Linked DNA regions of Canis lupus familiaris. The protein of the gene in region 4 binds, or shares a complex with, the protein of the main gene of each other region. Links are inferred from orthologs where the notes say so. Each region holds a gene or a part of one and is shown on either strand. Other genes may lie near its edges.

What was found.
Region 1: CHTOP (region 4) and SARNP share a complex: the UniProt entries of both Homo sapiens proteins name them as parts of the transcription/export (TREX) complex. The link is inferred for Canis lupus familiaris from reciprocal best matches to the Homo sapiens genes CHTOP and SARNP.
Region 2: CHTOP (region 4) and DDX39B share a complex: the UniProt entries of both Homo sapiens proteins name them as parts of the transcription/export (TREX) complex. The link is inferred for Canis lupus familiaris from reciprocal best matches to the Homo sapiens genes CHTOP and DDX39B.
Region 3: CHTOP (region 4) and THOC5 share a complex: the UniProt entries of both Homo sapiens proteins name them as parts of the transcription/export (TREX) complex. The link is inferred for Canis lupus familiaris from reciprocal best matches to the Homo sapiens genes CHTOP and THOC5.

What each region holds. Positions count from the first base shown.
Region 1 is NC_049231.1:541,106-546,746, reverse strand, and holds part of SARNP (SAP domain-containing ribonucleoprotein), read left to right. Parts: intron 1-3,710; coding exon 3,711-3,810; intron 3,811-5,641. UniProt on the Homo sapiens protein: Binds both single-stranded and double-stranded DNA with higher affinity for the single-stranded form. Specifically binds to scaffold/matrix attachment region DNA. Also binds single-stranded RNA. Enhances RNA unwinding activity of DDX39A.
Region 2 is NC_049233.1:1,170,870-1,176,510, forward strand, and holds the end of DDX39B (spliceosome RNA helicase DDX39B), read right to left. Parts: exon of another isoform or gene 5,596-5,641; intron 4,631-5,595; coding exon 4,512-4,630; intron 2,213-4,511; coding exon 2,081-2,212; intron 1,316-2,080; coding exon 1,206-1,315; intron 1,107-1,205; coding exon 962-1,106; intron 825-961; coding exon 677-824; intron 352-676; coding exon 335-351; downstream 1-334. UniProt on the Homo sapiens protein: Involved in nuclear export of spliced and unspliced mRNA. Component of the TREX complex which is thought to couple mRNA transcription, processing and nuclear export, and specifically associates with spliced mRNA and not with unspliced pre-mRNA.
Region 3 is NC_049247.1:23,170,393-23,176,033, reverse strand, and holds part of THOC5 (THO complex subunit 5 homolog), read left to right. Parts: intron 1-1,219; coding exon 1,220-1,297; intron 1,298-1,991; coding exon 1,992-2,032; intron 2,033-2,266; coding exon 2,267-2,366; intron 2,367-3,799; coding exon 3,800-3,908; intron 3,909-5,641. UniProt on the Homo sapiens protein: Component of the THO subcomplex of the TREX complex which is thought to couple mRNA transcription, processing and nuclear export, and which specifically associates with spliced mRNA and not with unspliced pre-mRNA.
Region 4 is NC_049228.1:43,413,136-43,419,283, reverse strand, and holds the start of CHTOP (chromatin target of PRMT1 protein), read left to right. Parts: upstream 1-2,128; 5' UTR 2,129-2,529; intron 2,530-2,655; exon of another isoform or gene 2,656-2,826; intron 2,827-2,983; 5' UTR 2,984-3,000; coding exon 3,001-3,065; intron 3,066-4,389; coding exon 4,390-4,543; intron 4,544-5,156; coding exon 5,157-5,240; intron 5,241-6,148. Other genes in the region: S100A13 (protein S100-A13), read right to left, coding at 1,012-1,019; S100A1 (protein S100-A1), read left to right, coding at 1,035-1,178. UniProt on the Homo sapiens protein: Plays an important role in the ligand-dependent activation of estrogen receptor target genes. May play a role in the silencing of fetal globin genes.

The DNA.
Region 1 (5,641 bases), on a different chromosome or scaffold from region 4:
TTAAGACACATATAAAAAAATGTTTAAGACACATACGTATAAAAATGGGTAAGATTTGATATTATAAGTTAGTTCTCAATGTAGGCTTTAAAAGATTTTTGTTCTACTACTAAGGTAATTGTACCAAAATGAAAAGTGAAAAGAAATGAGCAGAACCCATAATATAATAACTAAAGTAATACAGTATGTAAAAACTCTATGTAACAATCTCATTTGACCAGAAAGGGGACATAGAGGTGCTGAGAAGACCACTGAATGAGCCCAAAGATCTGGGTTTAGGGACTGAGAACTGTTGGGGGCTGAGATTTTAGTGACCAACGGCAAATGGCAGGGCCATTGGTCAGCAGTGATGGATGCTACACTACTAGTTGTACCAGTTTGTCAGTTCCCAAGTGTAGATTAGCAGCCTATGTAGAAACCATGATTCCATTTCCTGTCAACTGTGAGGTTTTTGTTTGTTTGTTTGTTTGTTTGTTTGCAGGTCTTGCCTATATCTAGGCATAATTTGGGGGAAGAAAAAGGAAGGGAGGAACAATTCTGTTAGAGAGTTGAGGTTTGAATTGCCGAAATATTTACCAAAGTGTTAATTTAAACCAGGAAGGGGTAAGGAATGGAGGCTTCTGCGGAAGATTGGGGTTATAAGAAACGAGTAAAGTTGTATTGCTGGGCAGCCCTGGTGGCTCAGCAGTTTAGCACCGCCTTCAGCCTGGGGTATGATCCTGGAGACCCTAGAGATCCTGGATCCCTGCAGGGAGCCTGCCTCTCCCGCTGCCTGTGTCTCTGCCTCTCTCTGCCAAAAACCAAAAAACTTAAAAAAAAAAAAAAAAAGTTGTATTGCTCTGTAAACAACAAGCACCTTCTAAACACACACACACTAATGATATATTTAAAGTGTTAAATGACTATATATAGTGTTATATTTTAAGTGTTAAGTGCTGGGGTTACATAAGACTTATTTTCTTCTGTATTTTTCAGAATTTTCAAACTATTCTACAGTAAGCATAACACTTTTATAATAAACCAAGAAAATATCTTTTTAAAAGATTTTATTTACTTTAGAAGGAGAGAGCATGAGTGTGCAATGGGACAAGCAGAGGGAGAGGGTGGGGGAAAGACTCCTAAGCCAACCCCAGGCTTAGCAGTATGCCCTAGTGCTGAGTCCTACATAGTGCCTAATCCCACGACCCGAGATCATGACCTGAGCCCAAACCAACAGTCAGAAGAATTGGGTGCTCAACTGACTGAGCCACTCAGGTGCCCCAGCAAAACTTTTTAAAGTGTAACCTAAATCACAAGCCTTGTTCTCCAGGAAGCTGAAAGAAAATGAAAGAACAAAGTACCAATGTGGGAAAGATCCAGGTTCTTAAGAAATGGACCTTAGAGATCACTTAGAGTTTAGATTCTAGGTTAATAGTATTCAGGGTATGGTCTGCAAGCCAGTGCTGGGTCATGAATGGTTAGCGGTAAGTTAAAAAAAATACTGAGTAAGCATTTAGAAACTTTTTTTTTTTTTTTTTTTTTTTTTTTTTTTTTTTAGCATTTAGAAACTTTTATAGCAGTTTGGTGTCACTGCTACATCCAAATGTGTGATGATTTTTATAGTAATTGGTTTTTATTTTTTTATAAAAGTATTGAAAGTATTAGTCCATCTGGCTGAAATATTAAAAAGTTGGCAGCCCCATCAGTCTGCCTAATTAAAAATATATTGATCTGTGAAATTCCGAAATCTGAGAAGCAGAGATTCTAATATTGTCTAATCCTTCACCCAGTGTCTAACACTTATGAAGTGCTTACCAGCTGCCAAGCACTGTTGTAAATGCTTTACAAATATTTACTTATTTAATCATCCCAATAATCCCATGGTATAGATACTGTTGCATTTCATAGGAAACTGAGGCACAGAGAGGTTAAGTTAGTCATCCAAGGTTACACAGCTGTAAGTGGTAAAGCTGAAATTTGAACCCAGGGGACTTTAGAAGAGGACATTTTGTGCTTTTAGTGAGTGATTTATCTACCATGTTTCTCAAAAGGAGTGCTGTTGGTTTTTTTGGGTAGGAGAGTTCTCCCTCCGCAGAGTATCCCTGCTTACCTGACCTCACTGAATGCTCCACCCGCTCAGTCATTGTGTTGCGGGGGGGGAAGCTCCCCTCTCCATTTTCAAATGCTCCCTTGGTTGAAAGCCTTCCAGAGATGCCTAGCATATTCCCTTAATTGTAAAATTCTTTCTTCTGTAGGGATCTGCCTTCTGACCTCTCCTGGTTGATCTTAGATCTGTACTTCAAAGCCATTGAAGTCTTCTTTCAGTGCCAATCTATTTGTGCACTGATTTGCATATTGGATTTCTAAAACCTTTCTTTTCCTGCTTGTTCTCCTTGGATCAGCATGTCATTATGCTTCTTAAAATAAGAATCAATCATTTAGAATAGATTATTTTTCAGTTACCATAACCCAGAATTACTTTGGTAGCAAATCATACCATTAACCCTCTTTGTACTTGTAATTATCTAAAATCCTGAGGTCTTCAACCTTTGCGTTACTGTTGAGTCTGATCTTGCTCATCTGGTTTTTAAACAATTTAAGTTTTGAATCTAAATGAAATACTTTAGGGATGCCTGGGTGGCTCAGTGGTTGAGCACCTGTGTTTGGCACAGGGCGTGATCCCGGGTCCGGGGATCAAGTCCCACATCAGGGCTCCCTGTGAGGTGCCTGCTTCTCTCTCTGCTTCTGTGTGTCTCTCATGAATAAATAAAATCTTAAAAAAAAAATAAAGTAATGCTTTATAGGGATACCTGGTCCTTCCAAATTGAATCTTCTTTTTGGCTCATTGTTCTCTGAAGAGCCTCCCCTTCTTGTCCTCCCTGCCACTTAGTTCTCTCAGTAATCCATCAGGTCTTCCTTCCTCCTTCTGTTATTCACAGAGTTGATAAGCATACCTATTTCATGTTTAGTCAAGTTACTGATTTAGAACTCTTACATAGAACTTGATAGCATGCCATTGGATATTCTTTCCATTTTGACATAGATCCTTTAATCGATTCATATTGACATTAAACTAGATAACACATCTGCCTAATTCTTCAGGGTCAGACTTGTATGCATGTAAATAGTAGATTGCAGTAAGAGATAAAAGTAAGAAGAATCTGGGCAGCCCCAGTGGCTCAGCGGTTTAGCGCCGCCTGCATCCCAGGGCGTGATCCTGGAGACCCTGGATCAAGTCCCACATCAGGCTCCCTGCATGGAGCCTGCTTCTCCCTCTGCCTCTGTCTCTGCCTCTCTCTCTCTCTGTGTCTATCATGAATAAATAAATAAAATATTAAAAAAAAAAAAGTAAGAAGAATCTACTTTTAGATACTTAAGTTTTCTACTTAAAGGTTGATTTAAAAAAAATTTTTTTTCTGTATGCTAGCTGGTACAGTAATGGGGGGAGGTGCTGCCCCTCAGAAATAGCTAGGAATTTGTAATAATAAATAGTTGCATGAATAGGAATTTCATTAAAGTAAGTTTATTCTTCACCATCTTTTAGAAAAGTCCTCTTGCATATTGAATATTATTAGAGAGAAGTGGCCCATCTTTGTGGATCTGGAGATTTAGTGGGTTTAAGAGTGGTAGTTTGGGAATTGAACTTTTTTTTCTTGTGAGAACTACCTTATTTATTTAATCATCGGGTTCATTCTGTTAACTAAGGAAAAGCTTTATTCTTTTTTTCTCAGCTTGCTGAACTAAAGCAGGAATGTCTTGCTCGTGGTTTGGAGACCAAGGGAATAAAACAAGATCTCATCAACAGGCTCCAGGCATATCTTGAAGAGCATGGTGAGTGTTTTGTAGAGGCAGAGTGATATGAGAGAGGGGATTAATTTTTAGGCTCTGTCATGTGGAAGATTTCTCCTTTTCCTTTAAGCTGTTGGTGATATAAGCTCTTTTTTTAATTAAAAATTTTTTAAAGATTTTATTTATTTATTCATGAGAGACACAGAGAGAGAGGCAGAGACACAGGCAGAGGGAGAAGCAGGCTGCATGCAGGGAACCCGATGTGGGACTCGATCCTGGGACTGGGATCACATCCTGAGCTGAAGGCAGATGCTCAACCACTGAGCCACCCAGGCATCCTGATATAAGCTCTTTTTTTTTTTTTTTTTTTTTTTTTTTTTAAATTTTTATTTATTTATGATAGTCACAGAGAGAGAGAGAGAGAGAGAGAGGCAGAGACACAGGCAGAGGGAGAAGCAGGCTCCATGCACCGGGAGCCCGATGTGGGATTCGATCCCGGGTCTCCAGGATCGCGCCCTGGGCCAAAGGCAGGCACCAAACCGCTGCGCCACCCAGGGATCCCCTGATATAAGCTCTTAATTAACTGTATCAAAACTCTTGATCATCCAAAACAGTGGTTATAATGCAAAGAAATATACTCCTCCCCTTTTTTTTAAGACACTAATTTTATTTCAGTAAATTGTTTAAAAGGAAGTATGCTAAAACAGGTATCATTAGATTGAAAATTGGGAGATTTGAATTCTGCTACCTCTTATGCCAGAAAGTTACTCATAACTTTGAATAGTCACTGTTTAAGTGACTAGGTGTCTGTTCTGATCTATGCAATGAGACAAACGTTTCCATACTTGAAATTGGTAAATCTAAGGAATCTCTGGTTCCTTCTAACTCTGACATTCTATAATTCCACTTTTTAAAAAATAAACAAAACCAGCTTTATTTAAGGCATATTATCATTCCAGGTTGTACAAGTTCCTGCTAATTTTTATTTATTCCCTTTTATTGCTTTTACCCCAACTCCTGTAAGCAGCTATTCTAATGTGCTTGATATGTATTTTTTGTCTTTGTCCTTGTAAACCATGTAGTGTTGTTTGGAATACAATGTTTTTATGTAATTGGTAGTGAGGCCATAGCCTTACTTTAGTTCTCACTTTTTTTCTCTAAGTACTGTGTTTTTTTTTTTTGTTTTTTTGTTTTTTTGTTTGTTTTTTAAGATACATTCATATCTGTGTGGCTATGGCTGTGTAGTCACCTAGTCTACTGATTCAAATTCCTGGATAGTGTTCTATCATGTATGGAATCCACTACGTTTTACTTAATTCACCTAGTAACAAACACCTATATTGCCTCCTAGACTACTACTTTCATATTCTTTTATATTTCTTGGTGAGTGTCTTTCTAGGGTATACACCCAGGAGTGGGATTACCAGTTAATATCTATTCATAAGGTATTCCTGATATGATTAAGCACTGCCAAATTATTTTCCAAAATTGCTCTGTAAATCTACAGTGCCATCATCAGTGCATGAGGGTTCTTGTATCTCCTCCACACACCTAAACTTGGCACTATCCTGTTAAGTGGCTTCATTTTCATTAAACTGTTGGTTCAATTTACATTCCTCTAGTTATTAAAAAGTTTGAACATTTCTTGTGTTCATGGTTTGTAGGGTTTTTCCTTTGCCGTTTTTCTTTTGGGGTTCCCATAATTCACTTGTTAGTTTGCAGACATTTCTTTTATATTCTGGTAGCTGTTCCCTGTTGGTCTTAAACACAAATACTCTCTTTGTCATTTGTTTCTTTTCCCATGGTGTCTTAGTTTTGGAAAATCTGCAATTTTTCATATATAACTTTTATTTTTTTATTTTTGGTTTTTTTT
Region 2 (5,641 bases), on a different chromosome or scaffold from region 4:
GACCTGAGCCCCACAGCAGGGCACACAGTCCTTATAAGAATGAATATACACTGAATCATGACCTAATCTCACCCCAAACCCAATAAAGGCATGGAGCACTTACAGACACCACAGACGCATGTGTTTTTTAGTTTTGTTAAAAAAAAAAAAAAAATTTCCGACAATTCAGGAAACAGGGATTCAGGAGTGGTGGTGATGCAAAAGGGGGAAGCCATGGGGTGGGGGGTGGGGGTTGTCACGGGTAGGTGGCAGTAGTGTCTCCTTCACCCCATGTCTACTGTCGTCTCCTGAAGAGGGACAGACTGTCACATTCCAAAATGGGTGGGTAAGTCCTCTACCGCGTCTGTTCAACTGGAGAGAAAACATGGCACAATTACAAGACATGGAAAAGGCAAGGCTGGCAGAAAACATGCCCCCACCCCCCACTACATGCAGATGTCTGTAGTTTGTGGGTGCAAAGGATAGACTGGGGGTAGGGAAAAATAAACTAGCTTGTTAAGAAAAGAGACATACAGATCAACTAAACATCCCAGCAGGGGCATCAAGATCCAAAGGACATAATTAAGTGCCTGTTACACACTAGAGGCTCTTTGTGTACATGATGGGATTTAAGACAAACACACTAAGGAACAAGGAGACTGAAGAGTTGAGCCAGTTTCTTAAGATCCATACTCACTGTAAGAGGAAATGTCTATCTCATCTGGCAGCTCACTAATATTGACTTCAAAGCGATCCTGCACATCATTGAGGATCTTGGCATCATTTTCATCTGATACAAATGTGATGGCCAAGCCCTTGGTGCCAAACCGGCCTGCTCGGGCCACCTGGAAGGAGACAGAGGATAGTCCTGGGAGATCCCGAAGTAGGAAGACATCCAAAAAGAAGGGAGAGGCTATCAGGTATGAAGATACAAAATCAGGGGGAGGGGACACTGGAATGCACGTGTGGGTGTGGAGCTTACCCGATGCAGGTAAGTGTCAGAATCCTCAGGCATGTCATAGTTGAAGGCAATGTTCACCCGCTCAATGTCCATGCCTCGGCCAAATAGGTTGGTAGCCACAAGAATTCGTCGTTGAAAATCTTTAAACTGCTGATACCGAGAAAGCCTTCGTGAGAAAGGAAATTAGAAAAATACTGAGTCCCTTCGCTTCAACGGTCTCTTTTCCTTCCCAAGGACACAAAACATCTTTCCATTTCTGACTTACCTCTCCTCCTGGGGCATCCCTCGGTGGATGGCAATGGCTGGGAAGTTCTGCTCTACCAGCAGCTGGGCGAGGGCAATGCAACGCTGCACAGACTTCACAAAGATCACCACCTGGGTGTGTGACAGTTGGGGGACATGGGTCCATGTGGGATAAGTGAGAGATTAAGTGTGAGAAGAGTTTTCAGTAACTACTCTTTTACTCTTCCTGAAACTTCTCCAATCCCCATTACATATTCCTCTTCTGTTCTAAATACAACTTAGCCTTTCTCACTCAGTTCTGATTTTTCCTGAGCAGACATGCTGAAGAGAAGATACAGAGAAAAGTAACTAAAACTACCAGATATGTTAGGGAGACAAGGATGAAGCTAATGGTAAAAATGAAAGTGGTAAAAATTTAAAGTGTGGAAAAAAAAAATTTAAAGTGTGGAGAGTAGTTTCTGCTCATCAAAAACATCAAACATATGCAATTTACCTTAATTTTAGAAAGTTTTTGGTGCAAACGAACCACAGCAGGTAAAGTATGGAACATTTCTTCTCAGTAAACAGTACAAGAAAAAACAAATTTTAAAAACCCAAGAAACCCAAGATATTTTGGAACTTTTACAAGTTTATGAAATCCTCTCAAGGATTTTGAGATTTTTCTTTACTCAATACCTGGCTGTGACAGCCAAAGAACAGAACAGCAGCTCCCATCTTGTTCACACTCAGCACCAAAGGCACTTAAATTCTCATTTAAAAGAATTTCATTTGAAGGTAATTTCCCCACTGTTCTCGCTCACATCACCTATGTCATATCCTCAACAAAAAGGTACTTAACCAGGTTTCTGCTACAGTTGGAGACGTGCTCATCCCCCTACTGGACTTTGAACAACTGACCTGATTGAACTCAAGGACATCGAGAAGGTCAAAGAGCTTCCGGTTCTTCTCGTTGTCCTTCAGTTTCACGTAGTACTGCTGCAACCCATGCAGCGTCAGCTTCGTCTCATCATCCACGAAGATCTCCATTGGCTGGGGGAGGGAGGGGGGAGTAGGGGGGGAACGGGAGGAGGGCAGAGTGGGGGGGTTAAACCTGGGGGGGTGGAGGAACTTGATCTCCAAAACACCCCATTGGGGGATGGGAAAAGAGAAGACTGAAAACCCCACCACACCCCCAAAAATATCCTCATTTTAATGTGGTCTCTTCCACGTTAGCTCTAATTTCCTTCCTAGCAGTTGTTTTAAGATTGCCCAAGTATCACGGGAAGGTAACCTGGCAAGGAGTTTGAAAAGGAGCAGTGAGACCACCCAATGGCAAGATGCCATGACCTCAAAAGGAGGTAGCAGAGGAAAGAAAACAATGGGAGAGGATCCCCAAAGGGAAAATGTAATCCAAACACCTGGGAATTGGTGGACATGGTGACTCGAGGTCAGGAATTCCACCACTATTGGTTGTAAAAATAGAGGGGAAGACAGGGATTGCTTCATTTGAGTATTCTCCCAACTAAGAGAATCAGGGGGCACCTGGGTGGCTCAATCGGTTAGGCGTCTGCCTTCGGCTCAGGTCATAATCTCAGGGTCCTAGGATCAAGCTCCGAGTCAGGCTCCCTCCTCAGTGGGGATCTGCTTCTCCCTCTCCCTCTGCTCCTCCACCTGCTTGTGCTTGCTCTCTCTCAAATCAATACATAAAATATTAAGGAAAAAACCAAACAACTAAGAGAATCAGATCCACATCAGGAGGGTGGATTATCTGTCAAGATCAGAATGCTAAAATGAACATAGTCAAAAATACCATGAAAAGTTACTCAGGATGAGTAATAACTCGCCCTCAGACCACAAGGGAATAGTTCAGATGGCACTGGTCTCTGAACTAGGAGTCAAATCAACTAGTGTTACATGGACAGTACCAATAAATGGTGTTAAGAAACAAATTCAGAGCAGCAGATATACAACCATCTTGTAATATATATATGTATATATATATATATATACACACACATATATATGTATATATGTATATACACACACATACACACACGCACGCACACATAAAACCCTTTAAGGGGAGGAAGATAGCAAAAAAAAAACAAACTGACACAAGACTCAACTCCTGAGTCCAAGTTTCCTAGCACTCTTCACTAACCTGGGGACATAATTAACATGAACACCCAGGGCCCAAGGTTTCAGGAAAGGATGAGTGGCACGGGAGAGAACCAGAAGCCCAATCCCAGAAAGCAGGCTTGCAAAAGCAGGCTTTTCAAAATGAAGCTTCATGGCCTCCTTCAAATCTAGCCCCAAGTATAACTAAAGGTAACTGACATCCCACGGGAAGGAGCAGTACAGGATAAGAAAGAATACACTGCACTGTTTATACAATAGGGCCCGTCTAGTGCCAAACCCTAACACCCACCTGGTTACATCCAAGTGGAGCTCCTCACATTACTTTTCCCATATCCCTCTCCTTGGAGTATTAAAAAATTGTTTTAAAAAAGAAAAAAAACTACCCCCCGTTTCAGGACACCCCTCCCCCCAACACATATGGGGAAAAACAGGGAGCACGGCACGCCTTGGATTCAGGAAAAAAACCGGGAACAGAAAAAGAGGCTGGTTTGGTCCTCAGCTTCCTGGTCAGGTTTCCCCGCGGCCTCCGCTGCCGCCATCCACCGCTGGGTGCCGTCTGCATTTCCCCCGCCGTTCCATGGTGCTTCTCCGCTGCCGGCTCACATCAGCCGAGATTCCGGATGGGTGCGAGGAGGTATGGACGGAAGGAGTAAGGGATCGGGGACTGAGGTGCCAAAGGCCCCCACCCCTGGAGGTGGGGAGGGAGCGGATTCATTTGTGCTGTTTGCTCTTCTTTTGGACATGCCCTGCCATCTGTCTGTCCCTCTCTTGCTCTCCTGCCACCGGGGGGTTGAGTTTTGGGGAGCAGAAGGCTCCAACTGTCTGCTCCATGCCACCTTGAGGGTGCGTGGCTGTAAAGGGGTATGTAGGAGACGATGGGTGGGTAGTAGGGCAGAAAATCCTGCCCTCCCCCAAAAAGGAAGAAGAGGTTCAAAAATGCTGTGATGAAAAAAAAAAAAAAAAAAAGGTCGAACACTACCCGCTCTCAAGTTAACCCGACCAAGTCTTCCGGAGTTTCCCTGGCACCCGCGCAGACCCTAACACTAGCTGTCTCTGCCTCTGTGTGTCTCTTCAAGGAGTCATCACTCCCAGATGGGCACGTGCCCCCTTCTTGGCATTTGAAGGACAAGGGAGTCTGGAGGAAGAGGGCGCAGAAGGGGAGGAGGCAGTGGGCGGGGAGTGGAGGGAGAGAAGGTAGAAGGGTATTTACGTCTTGCATGAACTTGCGGCAGACAGGACGGATCTCTTTGCTCAAGGTAGCACTGAACATCATGACCTGCTTCTCATGGGGGGTCATGCGAAAAATTTCCTGGACATCCCGACGCATGTCTACAAGAAAAAGGAAAAAAATCCTAGAAGGAAAGAAGGAAATGTCATAGACAAAGACCGGAGACAGCCTCCCCAGTGAGGTGAAACTGCTGGAAACAGGTAAGCAAGAGCCATTTCCCACAAAGATTTGTCTCAGGTACTCTATTTACACGAACCACCGTAAAATCACATCCATTGCAGTAACACATGGAAAATTTCAAATAAAGACCTAGAACCAAATTTCAGCACTATGTGTTTTAGCCAGGCAAGAAGATAATGAAACTCCAAATCTCACAAGTATGATATGGAGATGAAGTCTACTGCAGAGGCTCACAAACCTAAGACCCTTGAGAGATGCTTTACAAGGCCCTTCTCCCTACTTTCTCCCCACACCCCAACTGTCTACAAATACTGCACACATAATTATATTCTAGTTGTCAAAGTCTAGTCCATGCTTCCTCTGGATCACTGTCCTATCCAGCCAGGCAAATAAGACCTCTACCCAGAGCCCATCTTATAGTTCACCATCTAAAATAACCGAAGGTCACTTGGAACTACTTATCCCTGGGGCTAAGTCCATCCCCACTCCCTCATTTATTAAATGTGAGTTCCAATTTTCCACTCATTTATTAAATGTGAGTTACAATTTTCCTTTCTTGTGGAACACTGAATTACAGAAAATCCCATAAACTCTCCACATTAATCCTAGCACTTAAGTCTATTCAGTTACAAATTCTGATATATGTGCAGGGGATGCCAGAAAGTAAATGGTCTTCCTCCTTCAGTTTATCTCCCCAGTTTATCTACCCAGCATAAGAATCTATAAAGGCAAAGAACAGTGGTGTGACTGATGTCTAAAAAATCAGCAAAGTTAATCCCCTCAAAGAAAAAAGAACTCTCCATCACAGAAAGAAAGGACAAAACACCCTTCCCCTTGATCACCAAGGTTGCTTAAAAAGCCTAACAAAAACCAACAGGAGAGCCAGAGCCATCAGTCATGGGTGATAGATTAAGAGTCGTCCTGGCACTAAA
Region 3 (5,641 bases), on a different chromosome or scaffold from region 4:
CCCATCCTGTTTCCTTTCCCATTTTACTGTAGAATTTCAGGATTAAGCTACCCAAAAGAATAGTTTGGTATTTGCCAGTGGTTGGTGGGGGCAGCCAGTGTGTTTGGGGTGAGGTATGTTGGGTCATGCAGAGCATTCAGAGACCAGTAGCCAGCCACCTGGGAGTATTATCTCAGTGGTAGAGGAAGTTTGCCACCCCTCCTTAGTGCAGTTGATCAAACCATTTCTGGCTCCTGTGACTACCTGTAATCTGTATATACCCTTTTGAATGGAGCAGGAGGAGTGGTGGTTTGTCTTGACCTTCCAACACTAGACGTATGGAGTTCTATAAAGGCAGGACAGGTGTGACCTAGGGAAGTCAGTCCTGGTGCATGAAACAGCCCACTTACATTTGTGCTTGAGACACTGGGCTCAAGTTGAGTAGACTTGGTCTTGAATCCTAGCCTAGCTATACTTCTGGCTATTGTATCTAACTTCTCTGAGCCTTAATTTTCTCAGTTCGTGGCTATAATAATGGTATGGCTCTCATAGGGTTGTTGTGAAAGTTAAACATGAATTTGAAAGAAACAATTTTTTATAATTTTAAGCATCAGCTCATTTGGTCTTCACCACCCACTGGGCAGCTACCATTTGTCAAGGCAGAATTACACAGATGCAGAAAGTGGGGCTCAGAGCAGTGACATAAATTTCCAGATGTTTAGGAATTGATGGGGCAGGAACTCAGATCTGGGACTAGACTACAGAGTCCAAGTTCTGTCCAGTGCCCTGCCTCCCCAGTTAAATGTGACCATGCTGGCCAGATGCTAGGTGTAGTACAGAACAGAGAATAAGCCCTTAGAGCCACTGTTTCCAGGATAATTATGGGCTTCTGGATCAGAACCTTTAAGACAGTTGGCAGAAGGTATTTTGTGGCTTTAGGCCCTAGATTGGGATTGGGCATTTGTGTAAGCCTAAAAGAGAGGCGTTCACTGTAGTCTCGGGTGGCGCTTGTCCCAAAAATCTGCACTTGGGTTTTTTTTTCTCAGTAAACAATGGAAAAAAGACTTAAGTTTGCTACCTTGTTCCTCTTCATCTAAAGAAAGGGCTTTTGCCCTCCTAACTCCCAGTCAGTAAGTTCCTGTGACAAAGGCAGAAGAAATGTAGTCCTAGAGATAGCCTGTTTATGTAGCTTAGCTCCTTCTCTCAGCAGCTGTCATATGAAGCTTTTTCTTGCTCACAGATAAGACGTTGTCTGTGGCAATTGAAGGCAGTGTGGATGAAGCCAAGGCTTTATTTAAGCCTCCTGAAGACTCCCAAGGTAATTTAGTTGGTATCCTCTCCCAAGTCTTCCATAGCTGATTCTAGGAGCACTGGGTCATCACCCAAGGGCATAGTGCTAGTCCTTTGGAAATTAGCTGTACTGGTTCTGAGTATGAGAGAGCTTGACTTTAATGACTTAATGCTCAAGGGTAGACAGAGAGAAACCCTGCTTGTGGATTTCATCCCTGTCACTCACTAGCTCACTGGTCCTGGGAAAGCTCCTTGACATTTCTGAGACTCAGTTTACTCACCTGTCAAAACAAGATAGTAATACCTCATATAGACTATCGTGGATTAAGTTTGGTCATGTGTGCAAAGTCTTTAGCATCATTCTGGGCTCATAGCAACTCCTCAAATTGCATGAGCTGCTACTGTTGTTATTATTTATATAACTGTTGCTGCAGCCACCACCATTACCAGTGGAGGGGCTTGTGGTCCATAGGATGACATTAAAAAGTATTTTCAGAAATGAGGGGTTGGGGTGGAATTATCAGGCATTTCTCTGTTTTTTCCTTGCATCACCGTGTCTTCCATACTGAATAAGCAGCAGCAAATTCATTTATTATGTATTCTAAAGAAACCCATTTACAAATGACACAGAGTCTTGGCCCCTTTATGCTTCGTGGGTTGAGGCACTTTAGGGAGCATTGGGACCCCCCTCCCCATCTCTAGATGCTTTTTTGTGGTTGCAGATGATGAGAGCGACTCGGATGCTGAGGAGGAGCAGACTACGGTGAGAGCCGTGTCCCCCACGAGTATGCTAAGCAACTGCCTGCTAGTTGGCAGGTGCCATTCTCCCCAGAAGCAGAAGAGAAAGGTTGGAAAGAAAGGGCTGCTGGGGGCCTGGCAGCCAGATACCTGAAGCAGCAGGTCCCAGGCAGCAGTACCGTGGCCCTGACCTGTAGGGAGAAGGAAGGGGAGATTCATGTGACCGGTGCTTATCTGCTTTGATCTTTCCTTTGTCCAGAAACGCCGGCGACCCACACTGGGAGTTCAGTTGGATGACAAACGCAAGGAGATGCTGAAGAGGCACCCGCTATCAGTCATGCTGGACCTGAAATGCAAAGGTCTGGTTTTCCTTGTTCTGGGGGACCCCATAGCATCTAAAAGTTTGGCTAGCTGCAGGTGTACAAAGTCCAGCAAACCAAAGTCCTCTTTGACCAAGAAAAGATTCTAGTTTCATATTTCTGTTTTTCCTCATTGTTTTGCTTAGAGTTTGTTTCATTTTTTTGAAGTCGTAACCATAACAACAAAACCAGGCACATAATGAATGATTGGTAGAATTACACCAATTTCTGAATTTGTTAAGTCAGATACACAGAACAAGTTGCAAGAGTATGCAGGTTTTAGTTTAGTTTTGTTTTTTTTTTTTTTTTTTTAAGATTTTATTTATTTATTTGAGAGAACGATAGCACAGGCCAGGGGGAGGGTCAGAGGGAACAGGAGAAGCAGGCTCCCCGCTGAGCAGGGAACCCAGTGTGGAGCTTGATCCCAGGACACTGAGATCATGACCTGAGCCAAAGGCAGATACTTAACTGACTAAGCCATTCAGGCACCTTGAGTATGTATATTTTTGAGTAATATGACCATTGTGCTTAATATAACAGACATAAGTAGAGGTTTGTATTCTGTAGAGAATATATGTTTTTTTTTTTTTTTTTTTTTTTGATAGAGAATATATGTTTTGAAACTAGTTTTGTATGGATAAAAAAGCAAATGATAAAGCATTCTAGGAGTATAAGAGTTAACAGTTACATGCTAGTTTTTCTCTCACCTGAGACTCTCAGACTCTGATCCTTGGTCTTACCTCCAAGGACAACCATTATGACACATTTCTTATGTATTTTCTAGAACTCTTCTATGCATTGAGAAGCTTTTATACAAGTGTGTATTCTCTTTTCCTTTTAGTTTTTATACAAATGGAAACATACTGTACACACTGGTCCTCTCTATACTTTTTTTAAAAACTTATTATTTTTAGGTAATTTTAGACTCCATAATAGAGTTCTCATGCTCTTCACCCAGCTTCTCCTGATTGTCAGCATTTTACCTAACCACAGTACAATGATCCACAGTACAATGACTGAGATTATGGATTTTGGGGAGGAATACCATAGATGTGTCATCATCACATCACATCAAATCAGGGGTAAATGGTGTCACTGTGTCTTATTACTGGTTACGCAGACCTGGATCCACTTGGTGATCACTTGAGATTACTTGAGCAAAGGCCTCTGGGCTGGGAGTCTGGAGCTTGTTAGAAGGAGCTAAGTCCAGCCCACACTCAAGAGGAAGGAAATAAAGTTCCCCCTGTTGGAGAGAGGAGTTACTAAGAATTTGTAGACATTCTTCTTTTTTTAAATCAATATAAAATTGACGTTGAGTTTTGTTTTTATAGTAAAAGTTTTTAAAGGCCTTGCTGACTTTTCTGTTCCATTACACCATAAACTGTTCTCATGTTCACCTTGTACTTGCTTTTCTTTTCCTCCTCCCCCTCCAGATGACAGTGTACTTCACTTGACTTTCTACTACCTCATGAACCTCAACATCATGACAGTAAAAGCCAAAGTGACGACCGCCACGGAGCTGATCACCCCCATCAGTGCAGGGTATTGGGCAAGCGCTATGAAAAGTGGGGGTGGCTGTGAGAAGAGCCTCAGTGTGGGCTGCTCCTGGTTCCTCACGCTCTGAGGAGGTGCATGACTATGTTGATTTCTGTTGTCACATCCACATGGCCTAGAAGTCTTGGCGCATAACTGATATTTAGGAAGCACTTACTGACTTTAGTTGGTCCTTTTACTACATAGTAGATGATAAAATGACTACAGTGTATGGCAAATTGAGTAGGCAGGGCAGAGCACTGTTTTTATAAACAGTGGAAAGGCATGAATGGAGTTTGGCAGACATTATTAGGTTGACAAATTTAAATTTAGGCCATCCTCTTCCTTTACCTTTTCTCTCCCAAGGTGCTGGGATTTTTGTTCCACAGCTCAACTGGTACCAGGTTGTCCTTACCTGGTGGTGAGAAGAGGTTTTGAGGAAAGTGAGCAGAGGCATAGTAATCATTGCCACAGGTCGAGTATCCCCAGGAAGCCCCTGACTGTGGTGGTCTTGTTCCACAGCTAGGAATAGGAAGAAGGCAAGCGGACCCAAGAGAGCCTGGATGTTAAATAGCCTCACTTACAAGAGCACTAGCCTGGCCTAGCAGTCCTGCACACTGAGTCCTCGAGTTGGCTGTCCAAAGACCACTGAGTGTGGCAGGAGTCTAGCTCCTGCTGGGTTGTGGCTCTTCCTGTGGCGGCTACCTGATGGTGTGGTGTCCTTGGGTTTTCTACCCTGTACTTAGCGTTCACATCCCCTTCAGGCTGCAGTCTCAGTCCCTGTGTTTGAGAGTGGTGTTTGGTCACCTTTGGGTACTCGGGATGAATTGACCCTGTTCTCACCTGGCCCCAGCAGAGGGAGCCCAGGGCTGGCTTCTTCGGGCTACACTGCCCAGCCAGAGCTCTCTATCTAGGAGCTTGAGGCAGTGGTGGAGCTTCTACATTGTGCAATGATGGGAGCAGTGCTGCTGACTGCTTACCAGCTGGACTCAGAACCCCTGTGTGTCCCCAGTCTGCCACTTACAGCTGTGGGTGCACCTACTGAGTTTCCTGTCCACTGAGTCTGCTTTCTCGCTCTGGTCATTAATTGTGATATCCCCTTTGAGGGTGTTCATGAAGGATCGGGTTCAGTGCTTAGTGTAGGTGAAGCACTTGGTAAATAACAGTTGTGTTTATCATCATGAATTTGCTTAACTCTTCACAACAATTTTATAAGGGGAGGAAACTGAGGCCTGTGTACCTCTGTACTGTATGCCTGTCATTGAGAGGTGGGCTGTGGCCCCAGAAGAGAACCAGGATTATAGCAATTGCATCTTTATGGGCCTTCAGGTATGTCTAGTTCATCCCCCTCTTTTCCAGATGGAGAAACTGAAGTTCAAAGGGTATATGATCAATTATGGAAGCCCCTAGCCTAGGGCTCCAGACTCCCAGCCCAGAGGCCTTTGCTCAAGTACCTCTGCTTTGGCCCCTGGAGATACCAGCCTGGTATATGGTTCTATTTGTTTATCCACTAAACATAAGGATACTTTTTTCTCCCTAGTATAATCACAGTCTCACACTAATTCTTTAATATCATCCAATATCCAGTCAGAGTTCTGATTTCCCTGATTTTCTCACAACTGTTTGTTTTTACGTTGGGTTTTGTTTTTTTTTGTTTTTTTTTTCTTTTTTTGTTTTTTTTTCTTTTTTTTAATTTTTATTTATTTACTTATGATAGAGAGAGAGAGAGAGAGAGAGGCAGA
Region 4 (6,148 bases):
ACATGAAAGTAAACCATGAACACTGGGAAGTGAACTATTGAGGACAGAGCAGTTGAAGGACCAAAAGAGGCCCCCAGTCTGCTGGCAGGAAACTCGGAAGCAATTAGACCCCCTCCCCATGAAGTCTCCGGCCAGCCACTTAGGAGCTACACAGAGCATTAACAGAATTGCCCGAAAGGATTATGGGACAATAGTAACCTGACTGAACGGGGCTTCTCCAAAGACGGGGCACTTGAGCTGTGGATTTCCTTTGGAATATTATTAGGGTAAATGTAGGCATTTTAGGAGGTATCTGCATAAACAAAAGCATGAAAAAAAAATATGGAGCACGCTCAGTAGTTTTGACCCGAATGAAAGATGCAGAAAAGTAGGCTGCAAATGCTGACAGGGGCTCTATGATACAGAAGCCAGTAGTAAGTGTAGTAAGTGCACCAGCTTCGAGGTTTTATCAGTCCTGGGGTTTCGGTTCTGATCCTGTCACCTTCCAGCTGTGTGAGTTGGGCACATTATTTAACCACCAACTGTTAATTTGTTTATTCCTCTAGCATTTGTGCTAGAATTAACAATTTTACAAGACAATGCTTGTAAAGCTTCGAGTGTACTACTCTTATATAAGCACTCACCATACGGTCATCAATGTTGTTATTACTCTGCCTTGTTAAGGAGCTTATTTGGTGGGTAACAGAAGGCCACAAGTGTTAGTTGTTTTTTGTTGTTTTTTTTTTAAGATTTTATTTATTTATTCATGAGAGACACACAGAGAGAAAGGCAGAGACACAGGCAGAGGGAGAAGCAGGCTCCATGCAGGGAGCCCTACGCGGGACTTGATCCCTGGACTCCAGGATCAGGCCCTGGACTGAAGGCAGCGCTAAACCGCTGAGCCACCTGGGCTGCCCAAGTGTTAAAGAGGATTCAGAACAGTCCCATAATTAGATGTAGTTCTCCCTCCTTCCTCCCAATCACCCACCTCCCTAGCCCAATTCCATACTATCTATCTCCCAATGTACCCACCTCTCCATCTCCTCCCTCCACAGGCCCAGAAGGATGCGGATGCTGTGGACAAGGTGATGAAAGAGCTAGATGAGAATGGAGATGGGGAGGTGGACTTCCAGGAGTATGTGGTGCTGGTGGCTGCCCTCACAGTGGCCTGTAACAACTTCTTCTGGGAAAACAGTTGAGCAGACACCCCCAGTGGCCAGCGTCCTTCCCCATCCCCCTGCTTCCCTCCCTACACTCCTACCCTTGCCCACCCTCCACCAAGGGCGCAAGAGTAGTGGGCCAGGCCTGCAACTCATCTTTCATTAAAGGCTCTTCTCTGGCCAGCTGCTGTCTGTCTCCTTTGGGGTCTGGAAGTGAGTGGGAAAGTCAAGGTTCCTCACTCCCAAGTCACCTTATTTGGTAAAGGATCTTATTGTGAGAGAGGTCAAGGGGACATTACATCTTCCTGGCTGAGGAATGCTCAAGGCCCAGGAAGGTAGGCATTCGAAGTTCCAGCTGCAAATGTAGGAGACTTCAGCTTCTCAGCTACAAAGCCAGAATTCCCCTTCAGTCTGCAGAGAATATTTACTGAGGACCTACCGTGCGCTAGACGTTGTGAAGGAGCGGTGAAGTTCAGTAAGGATGGCAGACCATCACACACGTGCAGGTGCTGGGAGGGAAACAAAAGACCCTGATGCACTTGCGCGCAGAAGAGTCAAAGAAGCGCCTGTGCCTCATTTGCCCAACCCCGGCGTGTTCCTACTGTGCACCCAGGCCCAGGGAAAGTCCCGAGTCGGTGTGCATGGAGGTGCACAGACTGGCGGATGGGGAGGGCATCATCAGGGGAACACGGACACAACGCCCACAGGGGTTTAACAATATTCAAGACGAGGAACAGAAACAGAAGCCCGGGCGTCCCTGGCTCTCCCGGGCTCGGGGCTCGGAGACAGCAGCAGGTGCTGCTCGGCCAGGGGCAGGGGGCACACCCCGCGCGCAGAGCTGCGGACGGCCGCCCTGAGCCAGGCCGAGGCGCCGCGAAGACAGAGCAACGGCTGTCTCCCCCGCCCCCGCGCGGGTCTCCGCGAGCCGGGCCGGCGCGCGCTAACCACGCCCCTCAGTGGGCGGGGCGAGTAGTGGCCCGGACCCCGCCTACTCTCCAGGGCTCCGCCCCAAGCCTCGCGCAGGCGTAGCGTTCAACGTCTCGCCCCCTAGCTGTGCGCGGATCTGACGTCTGACGCAATTGCGTCGACGCCATTTTAGCCGGTCCCAGTCGGCTCTGGGCGTGGCGGCCATTTTGTTTTGGACACCGAGCGGGAGGCGGCGGCGGCGGCTGTGGTGGCACCGACACAAGGCAGGAAAGGGCAGGCCGGGCAAGCAGGCGGACCCGGCCGACCAGGCAGCCGGCCGGCAACAACGAGCTAACCTAGCAACCTACCGCTTACATCTCTAACCAACCGCCCACCAAGTCAAGTCAGGTTCCGCCGGGCCCCGGCCCGCGCGCCGCAGCCGTGGTGGCAGCCCCGGGAGGCGCACTGGCGTCCGTTTCCTTCGGTGCGTTTCCGTAGCGTGGGGGGAGTGGCGGGGCGGCGGGCCCCGGGGGGGCGGAGCCGGCGGTGGGGGGGCGGCGTCGGGGAGGGGAGCGGGCGGCGGAAACCAACGTCCGGATGGGGAGCGTTGAGGGGGGCGCCCCGTGGGTCCTCCTTCCGCCGGGGCCAGTGAGGGCCTTCGGACCCTCGTGTGTGTGCGGAGGCTCCTCGCGGCCCCGGCTGACGAGGGCCGGTCCGGGTTAAGACCAGTCCGCTCTGTCGCGTTGGGGGTCGGGCGGTGGCCTCCAGGCCCGGATTGGCCGTAAGTGTGTGGGGACTGGAGCCCCCGGAGCGGTGTTCAGGGCGAGCGTCGGTCCTCGAGACAGGTCGTCCGTTGTCCTGCCTGTCGGGCCCTCGCTGCCCTTGAGACGAGGGGGTCCTTGGTCTGACTCGGTTTATCCTCTTACTGTCCTTTGTAGATTCTCGGGATTTGAAGATGGCTGCACAGTCAGCGCCGAAAGTTGTGCTAAAAAGCACCACCAAGATGTCTCTAAATGAGCGGTGAGGCAGCCAACAGCAACTTCAGCTCGTTCATAAGAAAACATTACTTAACTTGGCCCTGGGGTCCGATGCACAAAAACCAGTTGTAAATACCAACAGAAGGCTACAGACCTCTGTTTTTAGTTGCATCTGATGTGGTACACGAAACAAATTGGGCGGTTGTTTCAAAACCCCTTATCAGTAGATTTTTATGTTAAGCTGTCTGAAATATTTAGCTGGTGGGATGTATTTTAAAAAGACTCCTCACACCCTCCCTCTTCTTCACATTTTTTTACATTGATACAGGGGTGGTGCAGCTCGGTAGCATGGTACCTCGGCTGCAGGAGGCTTGCTGCTCAGTCCAAGGCCAGCAGTGTTGTGTCTGGCCTGTAAGAGGCAGGCAGCAAGCTGTGGATATGTCCAAAGGCCCTTGAATGCCATTCTTGGGCCTTGTAAGAGGCACTTGCTTTGCTCCATTTCTCTTTCTTTGAATTCTGCTTTTAGTTTGTTTTTGTGTTAGATTCTTTTACAGTTAAGTGTTCTTTTTTGTACAATTAAACATACTTTGACAGGAGTAACAGAGGAGTGTCTTCACAAGCTTTTAAGTGATTAAAGTAATCTGATTTTCTCAGAAATAATCACATGCAGTCAGGAAAAGTAATCATCAGACTAAAAAAAGTTAGGGTGCCAAAAGCTCTTTATTGAGCGCCTTTGACCAGTGATTTTATTTAGTTGATGTTAGACCACAAAAGATCCAGAAGATTGACTTGATGTTTGCTTTTGCCTTTTCTGAAGCATATGTACTGCTTCTTATCTCTTACACTATGATATACTGATTTTTCATGCTTCTATGTACCTGAACGAACAAATAGATGAAGAAAGTGAGATCTACTCTGATGACTTACATGGGTGTACTACTACCATGGGCTGTGAAGGTGCTCTGGTCCTTCCCTACATTCGCCCTTACAGCCACCCTCCAATTCCCCCAAGAGTTTGGCTTTCTTTGTTTGTCTTTGAAACTACGTTTTCTGTCTTTTGTTGTCCTCATATCTGCTTATTGCGTGTTTTTCATACCTCCCACCTCTCTAAAAGCCGTTACCCTGAGCCCTTGTTATCACTTTTGATTGAATGTGCTGCTGCACTTAGCTGCGTTTCTGAGTTTCTGATTCTTGCAAGTTTGTGGAAGCCGAGGAGTCTTTAACCCACATCAGCCTTGATCTAAGTGTACCACATTTACTTAAAGTTCGTGGGATCTGGAGCTCCTGGTCTAGCAAGCCATGAAAATGCCAATAAATGTTTTGTAATAAAGCTTTTATTTAAACATCCATTCTGTTCGACCTTGAAGCTTTACTAATATGCTGAAGAACAAACAGCCGATGCCAGTGAATATTCGGGCTTCGATGCAGCAACAACAGCAGCTAGCCAGTGCCAGAAACAGAAGACTGGCCCAGCAGATGGAGAATAGACCCTCTGTCCAGGCAGCATTAAAACTTAAGCAGGTGAGAAGATGAGTCTTAATGCTCCAGAAGCAGCTGGTGATCTCTGTCAGGCAGTCCAACTGAGGCTGTCAGGACGTGATGGATGATTGTAAGGTGGCTCAGGGCAAAAGCAGAAACTTCTCTGGAGGAAAGAGAAGTTCAGAGAATTCCCATTTTGGCAGGTACCAATAAGTAACTTTCATTGTCTTTCTCTTTTAGGTAGTTTGCCATCAGTGGCCTGTTTCTGTGTTATCAATGAGTATTAATCTCTTTCTTTCTGATCCTTTGCCCTTAAAGTAAATTGACTGGATTTTCCCACAAAGAAATGTTGGTGTCTGTTTTAGATGACTTTCAAAAAATGCTTTATTCCCTATTGAGTGACTTACACATGAGGGAAATCATTTTCTTGTTTCTTCCTTGAGCATAGGAAGTCTGAACAGCCTTAGTCAAGGATTTTCAGTGCTAAAATAGAGAAAGAGTAAGGTGACCCTCATCTCCACAGCACCTAAAGTTTTGTCAGTAAAATAGAATGAGAGCACTGAATAATTAAGAATTAGTAGGTTATTTTTCAAACTTCCAGTAGGAGATAATCCTATTCAGACTTGAAATAAAACCTGCTCTTTATTATTCATAGACTTTATATGCAAGTCCGGACAGTGGCTGTGGAAGGATATGTCCAAGCTGTGGCTGGGCGTCTGGAGGGCGATGCCATGCAACTGTAAGGACTTTAACTGGTAGCACTGCATGGCTGTGCATAAATTCAGCGGTTAAATATAACACCATCCCACCCCCACCCTGAACTGTTGGGCTCACTGACCAAAAATAAACAGGGCCTTCTGCTTCAGCTACCTTAAGCCTTGGAGTTCCTGTATTTGTCCCTGACCCAGGAAAGCGGTAAAAAGGGCCCCACCATTTTCCAAGAGAGGCAGTTCTAAATTGCTAAAGATAAATCTATGGCAGATCATTCCAAGGGACCTTTCTAGAAGAAGCTTTAAATACAGGCTGGGCAGAAAGTAGCCTCTGGAGCAGAGGTGTCTGATAGAACTTTGCGCGGTGAAGGGAATATTCTTATCTGCTCTCCAAATTTGGTAGCTACCAGCCAGCCATGTGTGACACTCAAAATGTGGCTAGTGTAACTGAGGAGGTTTTTATTTTATTTTATTTTTTTATTTTATTTTTTAATTTTTTTAAAAATTTTTATTTATTTATGATAGTTACAGAGAGAAAGAGAGGCAGAGACACAGGCAGAGGGAGAAGCAGGCTCCATGCGCCGGGAGCCCGATGTGGGATTCGATCCCGGGTCTCCAGGATCGCGCCCTGGGTCAAAGGCAGGCGCCAAACCGCTGCACCACCCAGGGATCTCGATTTTTAAATTTTATTTACTTGAAGTTTAAATAGCCACATATAATCTTAGCATTACAGCCTAGCTCTAGAGTAAAAGCTAGATGGTATAGGAACATCCTTAAGCTTGCTGTGTTAGAGATTTCTATTGCTGAGGTCTCTATACGTTATCCCCTGAAGCACAGGTTTTGGGAGAATGTACTCAGGATCACTGAACAGAAGGGATTTGGAGAATGAAGTCCTGACCTCCTAATGTGTGCCGTCAGGGGAATGATGCGACAGACT